Danio rerio: one gene and its partner. The protein of the gene in region 2 interacts with the protein of the main gene of each other region in a biochemical or structural test. Links are inferred from orthologs where the notes say so. Each region holds a gene or a part of one and is shown on either strand. Other genes may lie near its edges.

Region 1 (3,952 bases), on a different chromosome or scaffold from region 2:
CAGAAACAGGCAAAGTTTCAGAGTAGCTACTTGATACTTGAAGCTTGAAAACACAATCAATCATTCTTTGCCATTCAGTCAGCCTTTTAGATGTGGGGGTTTAGCCCTCCTCCCTCCCTAGCACCACATGTTCATGACATTTTTTTTAATCCCAAAAAGTTCAGCACATTTCAGTAGTAAGCTTTCACAAATGTCCACAGCAGATCTAGACCACCAAGATCAAACCTAAAGTCGTATAATATTGACGGTTATCATAATAGAAATAATGGATATGTGGGTCTAATCAACGCTAGTGACAATTATTCCATGATTAAAACAATAATAGACTCAGCTATGGTACCAACATGCACCACAAGTCTCAAACCTGCCATCAAAAAAGAAGAATTTTCCTTTTCCATTCTTCTCGCCATGAACAAAATGTCCTTCAAATCTGTCACTGGAGGAGTAGGTCACAGTGCAGAAACCATGAGGCTGGTCATCCTCATCCAGTGGTCCTAAAAAGTCATGACATCAAAGATAAATAACCAATGTACTCCATATAACTCAACGATAATTTTAATGGACCAAGGCTGCGTTTCCCAAAAGCATCATAACCAGCGAAATTGCTTCAAAAAACAAAATTAAAGTACTAAGTACTATTCTAATTACTAACATAATATTAAAGTTTATACAACAGTTCTGTCTGGTTCTCGAATCTGATTGGCTGATAGCCATGAGACATTAAAGTAACATAAGCACTCATACCGCGTCTTCACCGTTGTGTATTACTCCGCCCACACAAGCGACAAGCAGAGGACTACAGTTTGACAAATATTGCTGCTGTTGGACAACATAACGTACTTTTGAGGCTTTTTAGTGGAGAATGTAGTTGTTTAAACTGCAACTATGCAGTTTATTTATAAGGATAGAGCCTATTTTAAATATTTATAATTTTGGAGATAAAGCACATCAGCATCCATTGGCCTGTCATACTGAGCAGAGCAAAGACGGCTGACGATCCGCCACAAGGTGGCGACACAGACCACATAATAAGCCCTTAAAGGAGAAAAACTCAGCGTAATTTCAATCTACATCTGATCAAATCATCATAAAACAGGTAAGTGACTTTCTAAGTCGATCTCGCTCTTGTATGTTGTAAAGTTAGTGCTGTAATTATATCATAGTCTGGTAGTGTTTGCTTTGCTTTGGCTTTTTTGAGGTTAATTATTGTAAATGCAACAGAAATACTGGGAAATCTCTGTAGACTGATGGCATTTCATGTTGTTCAGCCTTATAATCTCAAAATGTGAGCAAAATCACAAATTTTGTCATCACTTTAAACATTATACAAGAGAATCAATCAAAAACTAGCTCTAAAGTGACGTTTGTGAAGTAGCAACAGTATCTGCTGTTCTGACGTCAGCTGCAGATGTGTAAACAGCAAAAGAAAGTAGTTCCTCATACAAAAGGACTTTAAGACTCTCTTTGTGCGATGTTTATTTTTATATACATTACTTTGCCATCGAACAACGTATAAACGCAATATCACACTTGTAAAAGTGCGATAAAGCTGTATATATTCACTGGTGGGACACTAAGCCCACACCTCCCACCAGTCCCAATATACAGCCATATCGCACTGCTACGAGTGTGATATTGCTCAACTACCACACAAAACTGTAATTTATTTATAATGCAATTGACTTTTTTTATGCAACTCATAGACAAATGTAACCTCTGCCACTGTTTTTGTCTTGATAAAAGCTGTCTTGATAAATGCAACCTTGTTTATTTAAAAAAAAAAAACTATTTTTCTGCAAAATATATCTGAACAAAAAATTATTCTGCTGGTCTTAATAAATTTATACAAAACTAATGATTTATTATGACTATTTATGTGTATTTAGAGCAGGTATATTAGAAGTATTTAAAGTAACCCCTTTACTTTTTTTTTTTTGCAAATAAACAAATTTATTTACAGCAACTAGTTAACTGTAAGGGATTACACCCAACACTGATCATGACTAACAGAGCTAAAACTAACTTAGGCTTGCAACGCTTTTAGGAAACGCAGCCCAGGATAGTAATATCACTTCACTGTACTGTATATTTCACATATAGCAAAAACCTTTCTTTGGTACACCTAGGTTTAATAATATAAGTCCACACAGTTGACACCCATGCAATGTGCAGGTCTGAATTAATCAACTATAGTGTCCACACTACACATTGATAACCACGTGGCTTCAACAACACTAGAATGTAACGTTACACCAAATTATAAATCTAGCACATTTACAGGCCCATTAACACGTTTATATACAGTATACGAAGACATAATAAAACTAGATGTGTTTAACGTTAGATAGAAATCAATTAATTAGTCTTTATTGTCTCTGTTAATAATACTGTACAGTATTTGCGTTCATGGTAGTCCAGAGAAATCGTATTTAAGTAAAAAAGCCCAAATAACACTCGTTTGTCATCTGGAGGATTAAGAAAGGGTCTAGTTTACGGGCCTCGGGTGTTTGACAGCTTGTTTACACAGGAAATCTTGTCGGTAAGCTAATCCTCGACGGAATGAGACTGCATAAAAGTTCAGCCTGACAGCCCAGAAAAACAAGCTTACGCGCGTGCGCGCACACACACTGCGTGGTTTACGAATAAGCTTCTCGTACCTTCCACCACTTCTTCCATGTTGTCATCATCGCTGTCCATGTTTAGCCTTTTCTCAGTTGTGTATTAAAGGAATAACGGCGTGATGTTTATGCCTGTCGCGGAAGCTTCAGAGCTGTCAGTTCTCCGGCGCACAATGTCTGACATCATCAGCCCTGCACTGATTTCTGTTTACGCAAGAGAAGCTGTGCTCTGAGTCGATTCAGCGAATCGGTTCACTTGGACAAATCGCTTTGCCGTCAATCGCTAAACGATTCATTGCTTGGTTGAGTCAGAAATCCAGGGAGATTGTACAAATAAAGCGTAATATTGGCTTTAAAATATATGAACGGAAAATTGCAAATTTTAGGTTTAAGTTTGAATGTATTTCTTCTTCTTTCTTTTAGAATGAATTGTACATTTAAATATGTGTAGTACTCCTGGCATGACTGAGCGCTGCCAACGAGTTTTAACTAACATGTTAGCATGTTTCTAGAATGATTAATCACATTTGACATTAAAACGTTGCTGTTTTTGCAGTTTAACACCGCAAATAGGTTAATTTGGACAATTTGCTTCGCTGTAAATTGCAAAAACAATGCATTATTTGCATTTGTCACAAAGCTAGTAGGGGAAATGAACAAATAAAACTTAATATTGGCTTTAGAATTTATGACAAGAAAATTATGGATTTAAGCTTTATGTGTAAATATTTTTTTCTCTTTCTTTTAATATAATTAATTTAACATTTACTGTTATATGTGTAGCACTCCTGGCATGATTCAGCACTGCTAAGAATGGGTTTTAACCACAGCGGTTTGAACTGTAGTTCTGCCGAGTGACTAAAAAGTTGTCAGCATGATGGTAAAAAACTAAATTTCTAGTCAAACCATTCTTCTGCAATCTCATACCAAAATAAGGAAATAAGGGCAGTATTAATAGCTATAAATGTGGGAGAGCGTTGACATTTTGTGATTGTATTGTATTGCAATATGGAACAATTAAATGTTGATGTTAAATCAAAAGTAATTCACAAACACTTGAATATGAGATGATTTAATGGAAATAAGTTCTCTATGGTTACAACTGAATTAATTACAAAATAACTGTATGAAATGATAAAATATGAAATGACAAAACACATGATATAAATTGTACCCAGCTTAAATGTAAAACTAAAGTTACCAGAGGTAAAAGGAGAGACACAGGGGGGAGAGACAAAGAGAGCAGGCCCAGAAGTTAGCCAGATTGCAGTAGAGTCAGAGAAGATAGACTCCAATGGAGAAGAGGAGCAGAGCAGGAGAGAAGCAGACCAGGA
Region 2 (6,383 bases):
ATAGAGGTCTCATGTCTGCATCAATCTGAACAGTGTGCTGACAACACCGCTATTCAGTACGCGCGCGACAACACAGCTGATAAGAACTCGCGCGACAACACCGCTATTAAGTACGCACGCGGCGACAACACCCGCTTTAGAGTTTTCCAGCTCTTTTTTCATCCCCGCTTCTAGCAGCACACTCTATTTCCGCATTACTGGATCTGTAGCGACAACAGACCGCAAGGGATGATGGTCAAGCATGGGCTGATGGGAATTGTAGTTTTCGCTACCTCCCGTTCGCTTCATTCGCCTGAGCAAATTTTCTCAGAAGACCTATAGTTTTACTGAGTCGTGCGACTTCGGTAATATCAAAAAAAATTAATATTGCGGTATGACGGTATTTACAATACAGTTACATCCCTAGTAATAATACATTGTGTAACATGGTTCTATAAAGAGACTCAATGGAAGCCAAACCTGCTTGATGGAAGCCCTCAGACAGACCACCACAGCCAGAGAATACATCCAGAGTGCGCAGTTTGGGAACCACTGGCTCTTGTGGCTCCTGATCCTGTGGTTCTTGAGGCGCTGCTTTCCCTTTCCCTTTTCCTACAGACAACCATGGTACAAACATTTAAGCTGCAATTTCTCCCCACATGCAGTTATGATTGTGTTCAGATATTTAAGCCATCTTGAATCCACGATGGACCATTTTTAGCTTAAAAAAAACACAAGAGCATACCTAGAAGTTTCCATTACTTATTTCAACATTACACTTGACTTACCTTTGCCCTTTCCTTTCCCTTTGCCCTTATTCACAGCAGATCTAGCATGATTGGGAGGATCCTCAAAGCTCTTGGTTTTGGCATTGTATGCCTACAAAAAGAACCATTAGGTAAGTCATGGCAGAAAATATTTTCAGCTGCATTACGAGTACCATTGGCAGCTCCATTACAGCCAGATTTTATCCTTACCTCAAGGAAATAGAAGCGATCGGGTCCTTTGTTTGAATAGTCCTGCACACTTTCAACCAGATCCTCTGCATACTCAACACGACAGCGTGTCAGCACCTCAGTCATGCTGACGGTCGCCTCTTCGTCACTCCAGTAGAGTTGGTTTATATCAGAATGATATGCTCCCTTTGGTCCCTTGTGAGTGTTTTCAGGTCTGAAAGCAAACAAGTTTGGGGAGAAAAATAGTATTGAACTCCCTTAAGGTACAACCTCAAAATCAGACGCACTGGTTGGAATCATTCCGGAGAATAAAAGAGTTACCTGTAGAATTTATAGAGGCGCAGTTTGATCTCTGAGGTGTCTGGCTTTCCATTGCTGCGCTTGTTGCAGAAGATTTCTTTGATGCGCCCAATGCGGAAAGGCTGAGGAGCATCCAGATTTGAGCCTTTAATGTAATCAGAGGACTTCCTGTAGTATTCAGGGTAAAGATCTTCATCAACGTCATCTTTTCTGTGGGAACGCTTCACCGGGCTTGCAGCCTTTACTCTAAAAGACAAGAGGTCCATTTAATAAAACCACTCAAATAGAAATCCCTTGAGGCAGTAAATAATAAAGAGCTTACACAAAGTTAAAGGCCTCAGGTGGTAGGTAGACACTGTCCCCTACTTTGTACTGCTCTCCCTTATAGTTCACCAACCCATAGAAGACTTTAGAGTCACTCTCCTCATCCTCTAAGGGCTCATAGGCATGGGGAACAGACTCAGCCTCTCGTTCTTTGTTTCTGGTGCAGCTGGCACAAAACCTAGTGAAACATAACATTTTATAGCACAAATACAGAACAGGTGTCCCATTAAAATAGGTCAAAAGGGGCTCTTACTTATACTTGCAGTCCTCAGAGGGTGTGACCTTGGGAGGAGTCTCAAAGCGAGCACATTCACCTTCATAATGGAGCTGATAAAAGAAGCTTTCACCATCATCGTCAATCACTTTGATGTCTTCATCCATTCCACCCTTCAAAACAATAACAGTGTTAAAACCTCTGCCCAGTTTGTTAAACACAAACACTGCCCACACTTTGGCGTATGTACCTCCATATACCAGTTTTCAGATGGTGCCTTGTAGAAGACGTTGACCTTGCCATGGATAAAACTTAGCTGCATGTCTTCACACTCATCCACTAGGAAGAGCTCAAGAGGGTCTGATGACTCTCCAAGGACCGTATCAGTGCCACGGCAGAACCAATGGGCATGAAACATCTTCTCACCATCATCCCACAAAGCTGTAATCCTACAAATTTAAAGAAACCAATGATTTACTAATTAGAGAGTCTAGTAAACATGTTAAACCTTTTGGTTTTACAAAAGAAATTGCTTTGATAATTTTACCTGGCCAGGTAGAGAGGATGTGATGGGTCATCAGGGCTTACAGATACACAATCTCCCACCTCCAACACCTCATTTTCCACACGCACTTTCATGTAATATTCCTTCTTTCCCTCAGTCTGAAAAGATGACGGCAAAAAAAAAATAAAAATTTAAAGTCTTCTAAATTTGGGAGGGGAGAAAAGTCTCCAGCCACATGAAAGCTAAAAGGGTTAGTAGCACAACTTGACAAACTAAGGCAAAAACAGCAAAAGCCATGAAACAAAAAGGAGTTTACCAGCTACAACAACACCATTTCTAAAAAATTTGAAGACTACAGTGTTAAGATTTTATTTCCCTAATACTGCATCGGATTATGGACCAATGACCAAACCAAGTAGAAAAATCTACTGTTTTGCAAATACCCATTTGAGTAGACATGGCCATAGTCCTGGAAAAAAAAAAAAAAAAAAAAAAAAAAATATTGTGTCCGCTGCCAGATAAAGATTGCATACCTTTAATGGCTCACCAACCCAGCTGATTTTGTTCTTGGTTTGTTTCTTCTTCTTGGTCTGAGACATTTTCTTTGTATCCTTAACTGGCAACACATCCTCCTCATCCATGTTCTCATCATCCTCAGCTTCTTTCACTGCCAGGTTGGGACACCTGGATGGACAAAACAAACATTAGGCTTTAACCTGGCAAACAAATCCAAAATCATGAAGTTCGATATCACCAACAGGATCTGCTTCTCAAAAGGGCTATTCTACTGTTTGGTTCAGAGACCAAGTGTGCTCTGACCTTTAATAGTTCAAAACAACAAACCTGGAGTCACCAAATATTGTGCAATCAACACAAGGTTGATATATTCATGATGTGCCTAAGGCCCTGTTTACACTAATGCGTTTTAGTTTGAAAACGCATAAGTTTAGCTACGGTTACGCCAACTGTCCACACTACGCCGGAGTTCGAGCGCCGAAAACAGAGCGTTTCGAAAACGCTGGAGAGGCCGTTTTCATTCTGAAACGCTGGTGCTCCGTCTTAAGTGTGGATGAGCAAAAACGGAGACATCTGAAAATGGAGGCTGGGCTGTAGACATTCGCTTCTCTGATTGGGGCTTTTCCTCAATATTAAGTAGCCTAACACACACAGTTCAGTCCTGCATCCTCTCCTTGCAAGTTCAGACTTTGCAAGTTTGATCAAGGCTGCAGTCTATTCTTCTCAGTTTGATATGGAAAACAGACTATACCGAGGACACGGGTAAATCTTCAAAGAGAACAGTGTACTGTATAACTTCATTCACCCTGGCTACGTTGTTTCACTTTCTCAACAATAAAATCAAATGTAAACATGATTTAAGGAACTGCCTATTTTCATTTTGATATTAGCAACTTAACAGACAGCAGAAATGTTGAGGCGTCGGGCTGCATGCGAGCGTCATCTTCACTGTGTGGATATTTATAACAAAACGGAGCCGATAACAACTGCCTCCTTTCAATTTCAGTTAAAATACGAAACATACCCTCTCTTTTGCTGAATATAAGTTTTAATAATCGATAATGGCCATTATAAAAATATAACATACAATAATTTTATACATTATAGGAAATAAAGGCAAGCGATCAGTCAATAATACAGAATAGGCTACGTGGTTACATTGATCATTAACTTATCTTTGCGCTTAGCCAAAACACGTTACCTGAGAACAAGTAGGCTAATATATTCTAGTGACCAAAGTCAGGGAATATGTCGTTAGATAAAGACAACAAGATGAATGAAATATCACGTTTAATAAATATAGTGAGATTAGATCCAGCAGGAGATGCTTGATGAGAAGTCCGACTAGCACAGCTCTCATCTGGGTAGATGGGCTGCAGCGCTGGCCCGAATGTGTGTGTGTGTGTGTGTGTGTGTGGTCATGTGATGTGCGTTTTCAGAATTTTGGTGTGGACGGAGAGCAGTTCAGAAACGCTGGGTAAAAAGCGAGTGTGGACGCGGATCGTTTTCATTCTAAAACGATGTTTTAATACTAAAACGCACTAGTGTAAACGGGGCCTAAAAGGTCAACAACTAGGAAGTTGTTTAAGACAATTAGATATCATTGTAACATTTAATCTGAGATCAATTAAATATACATGCCTAGGTAAATGAAATGCCAATTTAAAATGGCATGAGTATAGACAAAATTGGCACTATAAATAGTAAAAACTATTAAAAACCTTAATTGTTGAATGACATTTAGCCTCATTCAAAATGTTAATCATTATAATATAAAAACAGAGAAAGCAAAGAAAGGCCTTTAAAACACATGGAAAATACAAAACTGCTGAGGAGAATGATTACGCAACAGCAAAGACTGCACAGTAAGCATACCTCCTCTTCTGACAGGCTTGTTTACTTCTGCCACTGCCTCCAAACTTGATCATATCCTTACAAGCTGAACACTTGCCGCAGTCTGGAGCTTGACACACCTGAAATACCAAGGTCGCCAATCATCATGCTTGCATTTCAGTTAAACTGTGCCTGCTATTTTCAGACAACCAACCTCACAGACACCACACCGTTGTCTCTTCACACCTCCATCCTTATTGTTCTGGTCAATCTGATCAGAGAAGAATGTGTCAAAGATCAGGTAGACCAGTTTAGTGGTGGTGGCTTTAGTCGGGCCCTTGTTGTCCTTTTCAATCTTAGTGGGATGGCGGACGGCTTGTCTTCTGGCTGCTCTCCTGAACAGGGGAAAAAAAAAAAACATGAGCAGAGCAAACAAGATACAGAGGGCACAAATAAAAGCAAAAAAGAGCCATGCGTTTAATGCACAAGACACAATGGATTGAGTTAAGACAAACAGCTCTGAAGTAACTAAACCCATTTAAACTGAAAAAAGATGTTCAGATTTCCCAAATGGACAACTTAAACAACAGGGTGCCAAATTAACATCTGTTATGCAGATCATGCAAGTCAGGAAGGTTTAAAAAAAATAAATAAACAAGTTCTCATGTTTTTGTTCTCCTCACCCACCCATTTCAGCTAATGAAGCAGTTTACCACCAACACAGGCGACTGCAGTTCAGCATATGGAAATATAAATAACCAAGCCACACACTCTGCAGAAACATCAGGATTTACATACCAGTACAGCTGCCTGCTGCATTAGAGAAAGTTAAAGGACCATTAGAAACAAATAACATGGTACCACAACTAAACCTCAAAATCTTAAGTCACTGAATTTTCAGACTTGCAAAAAAATAAATTGTGCAAACCTGTTATCTAGTACCAAAATAGCAGCTCCCGCATTCACAAATTGGTTTAAGCTACATGAATACATTATATGTCCTATGAGAAACACCGATAGCCCTCCCTGATGGTCCACAATATTGAAGCCCATGCCTCATGCAGGATAAAATAACAAATTGGTTTCAGTTGCTAAGAGAACAGTTTGAGGTCTGCTTTCTGGGTACCAGTATATCGAACCCACCATTACCCAGTTATCTCATTGAAGGCATTTAAGAGACCACCAATTCTAGTAAACTCACCTCTTGCCCAAAGTAACACCAGCCAGCTTGATCAAGTCACGCATACATGGAGTGATTATAATGGGTTGTTCATCAGAGTCTCCAGCCTCATCGTAGCTCTCGACCTGCTCTACCACAAACTGGGCATGGCGCAAGAGTGTGTCTTCTGTGAAACGGTTGAAGTTGAGCCCCGCGGGCGGGACAGTAGTCTAAAAAGACAAATAACAGGTTATCCCACAACTTCTAAAATGGGACAAGTGGCAAAGAACTTCAATGCTCCCATAAAGTGTACCTCTATTTTGTTCAGCAGGTCCTCATATGTGGCATCCTGGTTTTTCTGAAGAAATTCAACCACAATTTTGCTCATGTAGATCTTCTCCTGCATCAGAGCAAAAATAGCAGAGTACTCCTCACTGGGGTCCATTAGGATATAGTCAGCAAACGCTGTCGAAAAGAAAATGAAACTAGTTAAATGGCCATGCATAATAAAACTGGACAAGGATAAGAGTCAACTTTGCTTTGAAACATACCTGTAGTGAAGCCAATCAAAGCCTTCTCCCCACCATCAAAACCAGT

Evidence for each region. The genes of interacting proteins can lie anywhere in the genome.
Region 1: of the proteins of dnmt1 (region 2) and setd7, one has a biochemical effect on the other in vitro, tested with the Homo sapiens proteins (2 studies listed by BioGRID and IntAct, with this or other methods). The link is inferred for Danio rerio from reciprocal best matches to the Homo sapiens genes DNMT1 and SETD7.

What each region holds. Positions count from the first base shown.
Region 1 is NC_133189.1:50,835,559-50,839,510, forward strand, and holds the start of setd7 (histone-lysine N-methyltransferase SETD7), read right to left. Parts: upstream 2,801-3,952; 5' UTR 2,698-2,800; coding exon of another isoform or gene 2,658-2,697; intron 495-2,657; coding exon of another isoform or gene 365-494; intron 1-364. UniProt on the Homo sapiens protein: Histone methyltransferase that specifically monomethylates 'Lys-4' of histone H3. H3 'Lys-4' methylation represents a specific tag for epigenetic transcriptional activation.
Region 2 is NC_133178.1:57,142,010-57,148,392, forward strand, and holds part of dnmt1 (DNA (cytosine-5)-methyltransferase 1), read right to left. Parts: coding exon 6,338-6,383; intron 6,252-6,337; coding exon 6,100-6,251; intron 6,017-6,099; coding exon 5,829-6,016; intron 5,441-5,828; coding exon of another isoform or gene 5,426-5,440; intron 5,023-5,425; coding exon 4,842-5,022; intron 4,768-4,841; coding exon 4,670-4,767; intron 2,963-4,669; coding exon 2,812-2,962; intron 2,437-2,811; coding exon 2,321-2,436; intron 2,223-2,320; coding exon 2,024-2,222; intron 1,947-2,023; coding exon 1,813-1,946; intron 1,738-1,812; coding exon 1,558-1,737; intron 1,482-1,557; coding exon 1,257-1,481; intron 1,150-1,256; coding exon 957-1,149; intron 859-956; coding exon 768-858; intron 592-767; coding exon 460-591; intron 1-459. UniProt on the Homo sapiens protein: Methylates CpG residues. Preferentially methylates hemimethylated DNA. Associates with DNA replication sites in S phase maintaining the methylation pattern in the newly synthesized strand, that is essential for epigenetic inheritance.